Macaca fascicularis: one gene and its partner. The protein of the gene in region 1 purifies or fractionates together with the protein of each later gene. This does not show direct contact. Links are inferred from orthologs where the notes say so. Each region holds a gene or a part of one and is shown on either strand. Other genes may lie near its edges.

Region 1 (3,749 bases):
ATTAGAATTAATTTCACCTGTTCCTTTTTATTTTACTGTGGCTACTAGAAAATGTAAAATGACGTACGTGGCTGGCATTATACTTCTATTGGACAGCACTGATCCAATAGATCCCAGGACAGCTGAAAGAGGAAATGAGACCAGAAGCAGGAAGAACAATTAAAAGATTCTTTGATAAGCATCCAGATAAAAGAGACAGGCTTGATTATCTAAATTCTGCCCATCTTCAAAACGTAATTCAAGATATACTTATTGCCTCCAAAAGCTTTCCTAATCCTAACAATTCCCAAGGAGATGCCTTTCTCTGAACTCCTGGGGCACTCATCATCTGCAGCATTCACTTCAACACTCATTCATTTGCCACCTGTCATTTCTACTTAATTTTGGGGTAATTTGTTTCTCAGATTAGACTAGAAGCTCCTAGGCCATAATTTAGGCATCTTTAATTTTTCCATGCTGTGTAATGCATTCTTGATACTTTTAATAAACACAGGTGCATGACTCCCAAAAAATCTGGATACACCTTCATGGGTGACTTTACCTTTCCACAGTAGAAGGTACTGAGAATCTCTTTTCCTTCAAGAACCTTAAAGACAGGAGCTAAAATGATGTAAAAGTCAATCAAAACTCCGAACCAATGTTCCAATAAAGTAGTGATATTTAATCAGTGAACAAGCATTAGACGACTGTATTGGATACCGTCAAGAAAAAAAAAATGCCACGACGGCAGAAGAATTTAGGCTTTTGACAAATTCCATAAAAAGTCAAACAAAAAATTTCTGATCATCTCTGATCTCCACTGCCAGAGATAACCTTTGCCAACCTAAGCATTAAGAACTTTCAATCAAGGAAAAAACACATTTTTAAAATTAACCCCTAATCAATTCTTCTAATAAATATCACATTTTCCAGGTAGGAAGTCACATATTACCAGTAAATCTACAACTCAGCATTTTCCCATCTAAATTAGAGTAAGGTGAAGAAAAAGACCTTTCCAGGGAAATGTTAAGAAATATTATAAGTGTATTTTACTGCATCATCGATAAAATCTTTCACCTAAAATGCCATTTAAATTTTCTACAATACTTGAGTATACAACAGCCAGCTTGTACCACTACAAAAATAGGAAGCTAGCAGCAACTCGTTAAAAGCAAGGGACATTCTGTGATCAGTACTGATTTGGGAACTTTGCAGTTTTCAGATTTTTCATGTTTGACATTTAAAACAGAAAACTGACACGTTTCTAATAAGAAACTAAAAGTTACATCAGAATTAATCTTCTTGCATTTGTTTAATGGCTACAAAGTGGATATTACAAAGTGCAGTTGAAGTTTCTATCTCCAAAGAAACAATCGAGCAAGATGGAGTTAGGACAGCTTACAAGGGAACAGAAGGCAGTTCTATTCTGAAAGGCAGAAGAAATAGGAGAAACCTGTCAAACAGCCTGGATGATATCAAGGAGTTAACAAGCAACACTCATTTCCTTTAGCACTGTGAGAAAATTCCGGTTGCTAATAGAAAGCTGAGGAAAGTTTGGTTTGGCTTGTTTCATTTTGTTTTCCTTCCAAATCATCACTGAGTATGAACGACTGCTTTCCTCTCCTCACATTACTCAGTAAAAACTCCCCCCATTGAATTGTCTTCCTGTGCCCTGCTCCCCAGCCTCCCAGATCAGCCCCCGCCCCCGCCTCCCTCCCAGCAAACGTGCTCAGACGCCTCTGGGCTTGTTGTGGTCTCGCCAGTCCTGCGGACGAGCGCTCCAAACTCAATGGACAATGGAGTTCACCCCCGTCAACACGAACTACAAAGCTCAGGAGGGCCATTTCCCTTTTCCTGCCCAGATGCTGTTTTCGCTCCTTCGAAGCAAGGTCCCATGCTCGAATAGACGGCCAGTGTGAGCTAGGACCTGCGTGTCTCCTTCTCACCTGCAGAGCTGCTGAGCCCCTCGACCCCCAAATAAGTTGTACCGCAGCGCACAGGCCAAAAAGGCCCCACCACCACCAGGGGCTTGGCTGGGGACAGTGGCTTCACCGTCCAGGTAGGGATGCAGGAGACGTCTCTGGACGCTTGGTCATGGCCCTCAAGACTAAGCCGTCTCCACTGTGACCCCTCCCCAGCTCCAACTTGCCTCCCCTCCCCCTACTGCGAGAAGACCGAGGAGGTGCGGGCAGGCAGCACCGCCACCTCTTCCTCCAGTGGAGCCCTCGGCCGACACTCACCCTTTCACCACAAAGAAGGGGTCCTCCATGGACATGGCGTCCCGGCCCCGGCCGCCTCCACCTCCACCGCGCACAGAGCGCCCGTGCCTCCCGGCCTCCTTCCGCCCACCCGGCCTGTTCCCGCAGCCGCCCGCGCCTTAGACTGGGGGACGCCAAGCAGCGGGCACGCGCGCAGGCCAGGTGCACGGGACCACCGCTGGTCCAGCACTCGCTCAGCACCACTGGCCGAATCCCGGACTCCAGAGCCGGCCCCCTCTGCAGCCTCCAGTCCCGGCTCCTCCCGGCGAGTCGGAGAGCCTGACCCCACCCCCAGGACCCTCGGCTGCGGCCAATCACGAAAGCCGCCTGAAGCACGACTTCCGTACCCCACTCACGTGATCAGGGCCTGCCCCTCCCCCAGTGGGCGGGGCCTGGGCCTGCGTCCCTCCGCCCTGGAGGCGGAGCCCTCGGGGCGGAGGAGGTGGGCGGCTTTCTACCGCCCTCTCCTCAGGCTTGAAGGTGAAGAGCGGCTTGTTCCCTCAGAGGTAGGCAGTCGGCTTTTCAGGATAAACTGTAGTTGTACCTGTTTTGCAAAATCCTCTTACCTTTCCTCTACTTTTAATACTTGATTTTGACAGTATGTAATTTATAAATCTATCTGGTCCTCGACTTAAAATGAAGCATAGTATCTGATTATGATGCTACACAGCTCCTTCAAGTAGGGTCTTACTTTGTGTTGGAGAGTGTGCTAAAAAGTTGTGTATGCATCATCTCAGTATTCTTTGGGGGAAGGTATTATTCCCCTCCTTCCCCTTTTTGGGGGGCAGGGACTCTCTCTGTCACCCAGGCTGGAGTGCAGTGGCACAATCACAGCTCACTGCACCCTCGACCTCCTGGGCTCAAGCGGTCCTCTCGCCTCAGCCTCCCGAGTAGCTGGGACTACAGGTGAGAGCCACCACGCCCAGCTGATTTTTAAATTTTTTGTAGAGATAGAGCTCTCAGTATATTGCCTAGGCTGGCCTCGAACACCTGAGCTCACAAGACCCTCCTGCCTCTGCCTCCCAAAGTGGTGGGATTACGGACGTGAGCCCCTACGCCATCCATTTCTCCCATTTTGTAGATGAGAAAATAAGTTCAGAGAGGCTTCACGACTTCCTGTAGTCACACAGCCTGGACAGAGCAGAACTGCAGATTCTGTGCACTTTCCACCAGATGGGGTGTACTTTATGTTGCTGTACATTCTGCAAATAACCATGTAAAGTAATTTTTCATACAGCATATGGTGCCTCCCAGGAGAGCGCACCTACAAGGAATAAAGAAGGGGCCAGGTATGACAACTTCCTCTCACTGTGGTTCAAGGACTATTCTAGAAAACATTTTGCCCAGAACCTTAGCCAACTCATATGCTAGATATGCTGTGGAGTTTGTGGATGAGGATTGTGGACTTTGATTGCTGAAAATCATTGAGCACTTAGTGTGTGTGTGTCAGGCAGGGTGTTAAGTGTTATCTCGGTTGCTCTTACAGTGCGATAATTACTGCCATCATGCCCA
Region 2 (3,649 bases), about 9.2 Mb from region 1:
TTCTGGTGGGGAGAGGCAGAAAATAAGCATGTAAATAAGTAAATAGGTACAATTACTATCACTTTATATTTGCTTACATGCTATAAATAAGATAGAGTAATGGGGTAGAGCATGCTGTTTCACAGCTATAAGGTTAATACAGTGCATTCAATGTACGTTCGAACATATGTTCCGTAAGGGCTGGGATTACTTGTCTATTTTGTTCAATGTTACTTCCTCAGTACCTAAAACAGTACGTAGTAGGTTCTCGTTATTTGTTGAAGAAATTAATTAGTTGTGTATTTGTGCCATTGTTCTTAAATAAGATGAACACCTTCAACTCTCTACTTAGGGGACTGGGAGTTGCAACAAGATGTCTTAGAGACTTAGGGGTTCTTTCAGATCTGTTTGGACAGAAGAGAACTCTGCATGCCCAACTTGGTTGAGCTTCAGTCTTATATCCTCCAGTGGAATAATATGTGGGAAGCACAGAACTCTGGGATGCTGTGAAAAATCTTGAAGTTTATGTGTGGGTAATCAGTGGGTGTACATAATGCTTTTAACCTGGGATGGAGGTTACTGTCATCAAGCTTAGTAATTGCTACTTGAATCTGAGAGTACTTCTGAATCCACCTATGTCTAAATGGGCCTTCATTTTGTTTTTATAGCAAATTTTTTAAAGAACTAGCTCAGTGATCGGAAAGGATAGAACTCTTTCAAAATTAAACATGACCGTGCCTCACTCCTCACTTACTACATTAGTTTGGGGACTTGTGTGGGGTAGAGGGCGGAGACCATATCTGTGTATTGTAAAAAATTGTTAAAGCCCCCTACTCACTTCTTCCTTTTCCAACTAGAAACGCAATTGCATATCTTCATTTATTTAAATATTTATACATTTAATGTTTATAACCGTCATGGACCCTTAATGACAGGCTACGTTTGGAGACATGCATCATTAGGCAGTTTCATTGTGTGAACATCATAGAGTACTTACACAAACCTACAGAGTGTAGTCTACTACACACCTAGGTTATATGGTATGGCCTGTAGCTCCTAGGCTACAAAGCCATACAGCGTGTGACTGCACTCAATACTGCAGGTAATTATAACACAATGGTAAGTATCTGTGTGTCTAAACTTATCTAAACGTAGAAAACATGCAGTAAACATATGGTATTATAACTTATAGGACCACTGTTGTAAATGTGCTTTATCATTGACCAAAATGTTATGCAGCACATGTCTGCAGTAAGTAATCCAGTGCACTTTAAACAGTGTTTAGTTGTGAGGACCATGGATTTGCTTTATTTCTCCTTTTAAATATTTCATTGTTGTGACTTATTTCATAAAGTAATTTAAGATAACTTTTTGTCTTGTGGTTAGAGCCACAGAGGAGAATAAGACACTTAAAATGATTAAACATGTCCATGTTTGTGTACTCTGGAGTTAACTCCTGAATGAGAGTGGATAGCTGAAGACAGTTATTACAATTTTAAGTTTAGGTTAAGTCTTTACTGAACAGCCTGAAATTTGGTTAAAACAGACCCCCATCATCTAATATAAAGGATGAACAAACAATCGAAAAACAGAAAACAATTTTTTCCTTTTTGCTTCCTGGTGGGTTCTTCAAAATATTCCCAGGTGTCCCCAGTTATCTTATACCCTGTTTAAGAAAAATCTGATGAGCAGTGAAGAATTCTACCCATTGAGCATCAGTATCTCTTAGAATATGCCCTACATTTCCATTCTGGAAACTAGGAATGTTTCATAAGCCTTTACCGTACCTGAGCAAAAGGTATGTTAAAAAGTATGTTAACATACCTCCTTTGTTAGCCTTCGTGTATGAAATATATAGCAAAAGTAGGGTGCAGCCTCAATAGCCTGTTGAAAAGAAAACCTGATTATTTTTAGTGAAGCGGTTTAAACTCTGCACTTAATGAGCATGCTGACAGTACATTTAACTTGCTTATGGGTTGCAAGTCAGAAGCAGGGCTAAAAGTAAGCTATCTTTAAATATTACTTTAATTTATATCAAATTGTCTTTCATTATCTGAATACTGAAGCCCACAAATGGAAGAACATTGCTATAAAGTCCTAAATTTAAATTTAATAGTTGAATAATTCTCCGAGAATTTGCTGTTCTTTATTATGTCTAATGAAATTTCAGAAATTGTAAATATTCTCAAAAGAAGGATAAATAATTGTTTAACTTTTTTAAACTAGTGTTCAGAATCAAGTGGATGAAGTTATTGATGTCATGCAAGAAAATATTACAAAGGTAATTGAGAGAGGGGAGAGACTAGATGAACTACAGGACAAATCAGGTACAGATCTTCATGTATTCCTTGATATTACTAATCTGTTTGCTAGTTTTTTTCTTCTACTTATCTAGCCAGCATTTACAAATCTTGGCTTAGGAAACTGGTATTTGGTTCTTAAGTGTATGATTTTAATGGTTTAATTTTAACTCCTTTACTTTGAGTCATCTTATTGTTACATTATTTTTTAATTGTTCATTGGAGAATGAAGAATTTAAAATTTCATTGTTGAAGAGTGAAGAGTAGAGCTGTTTTTTCTTTCGCACTTTGATGTTGATGAACTTTGTGTTTCTCACGATCTCAGGGCCGAAAGACCTACTCACTTTTCAACACTTGTTTCAAACTTATCTGCTATTTTTATTTTATGTTTCATTTGGTAACTTAGTCACCTTTCTTTACTTTCAGTCATTACACCTATAACCTATATACCCATACCTGGCATGTACTTGGCACTCAAATATTGTTTGAATGGTGAATGGCTGAATACCTGATTAATCTTTGACAGACTTAAAAAAAAGACAACCTCGCTTAGTCACTTTTAAAATGTATATTGTTTTCCTTTAAAATCAGTCACTTTTGATATCTTCTAAAAAGCTAACTTCTCTACATGTAATTTTTTTTCTAGAGGTGTGCCAAGTGTTTGAATTTTTAAAGAGTATTTTCTTATTAGAATTCCTAAGCTTATTTATAAGCATTAAGGCCCTAAAAAGACTTTTCTTAATTTTATAATAAAAAAGGATTGAGCAAACTGATCTGCAAACTGTTTTTTACTTTTTGTTTTTGTTTTTGTTTTTTTTATAATGTAGAATGCCAGAGTTTGTGGGTGGAAAAAAGGGAGAATGTTGTTTTCATGCTTAAAAGGGAATAAATTTGCAGAAGTAGAAATTAATATTTTCTTATCTTTGTGTGACTAGATAAAAGAATCCTGTTATGTCGTTTAATCCTTCTCTCCATCCTCTATGTGATATAGAAAGCTTATCGGATAATGCAACAGCTTTTAGCAACAGATCCAAACAACTTCGAAGGCAAATGTGGTGGCGCGGATGCAAAGTAAGTAAATCAGAAGCTCCTGGATAGATTGGTCAGCATCTGAAGTGGTATTCAAACACATGAAGGAAAAAGGGCCTCTAGAGCATAACATCTGTGAGAACAGGGCCTATAACTGTCCTGAGACATGGTAGAAATTCAGTAAATACTTGTTAACTTAATTGCTTTTGGGATAGGGATAACTAAATAAATCAGTATGCCTAAAAGGATGTTTTCATAGATTTTTTTTCATGAGAGTAATCCACATTTTATTAATATTTGGCTACCTCTAGACTTATTAACTTGTAACAAATATACATTTT

Evidence for each region. The genes of interacting proteins can lie anywhere in the genome.
Region 2: the proteins of STX6 (region 1) and VAMP4 purify together in Homo sapiens (co-immunoprecipitation; 5 studies listed by BioGRID and IntAct, counting the BioPlex papers as one, with this or other methods). This does not show direct contact. The link is inferred for Macaca fascicularis from reciprocal best matches to the Homo sapiens genes STX6 and VAMP4.

What each region holds. Positions count from the first base shown.
Region 1 is NC_088375.1:38,510,392-38,514,140, forward strand, and holds the start of STX6 (syntaxin-6), read right to left. Parts: upstream 2,510-3,749; 5' UTR 2,255-2,509; coding exon 2,220-2,254; intron 1-2,219. UniProt on the Homo sapiens protein: SNARE promoting movement of transport vesicles to target membranes. Targets endosomes to the trans-Golgi network, and may therefore function in retrograde trafficking.
Region 2 is NC_088375.1:29,326,257-29,329,905, reverse strand, and holds part of VAMP4 (vesicle-associated membrane protein 4), read left to right. Parts: intron 1-2,205; coding exon 2,206-2,306; intron 2,307-3,214; exon of another isoform or gene 3,215-3,270; coding exon 3,271-3,350; intron 3,351-3,649. UniProt on the Homo sapiens protein: Involved in the pathway that functions to remove an inhibitor (probably synaptotagmin-4) of calcium-triggered exocytosis during the maturation of secretory granules.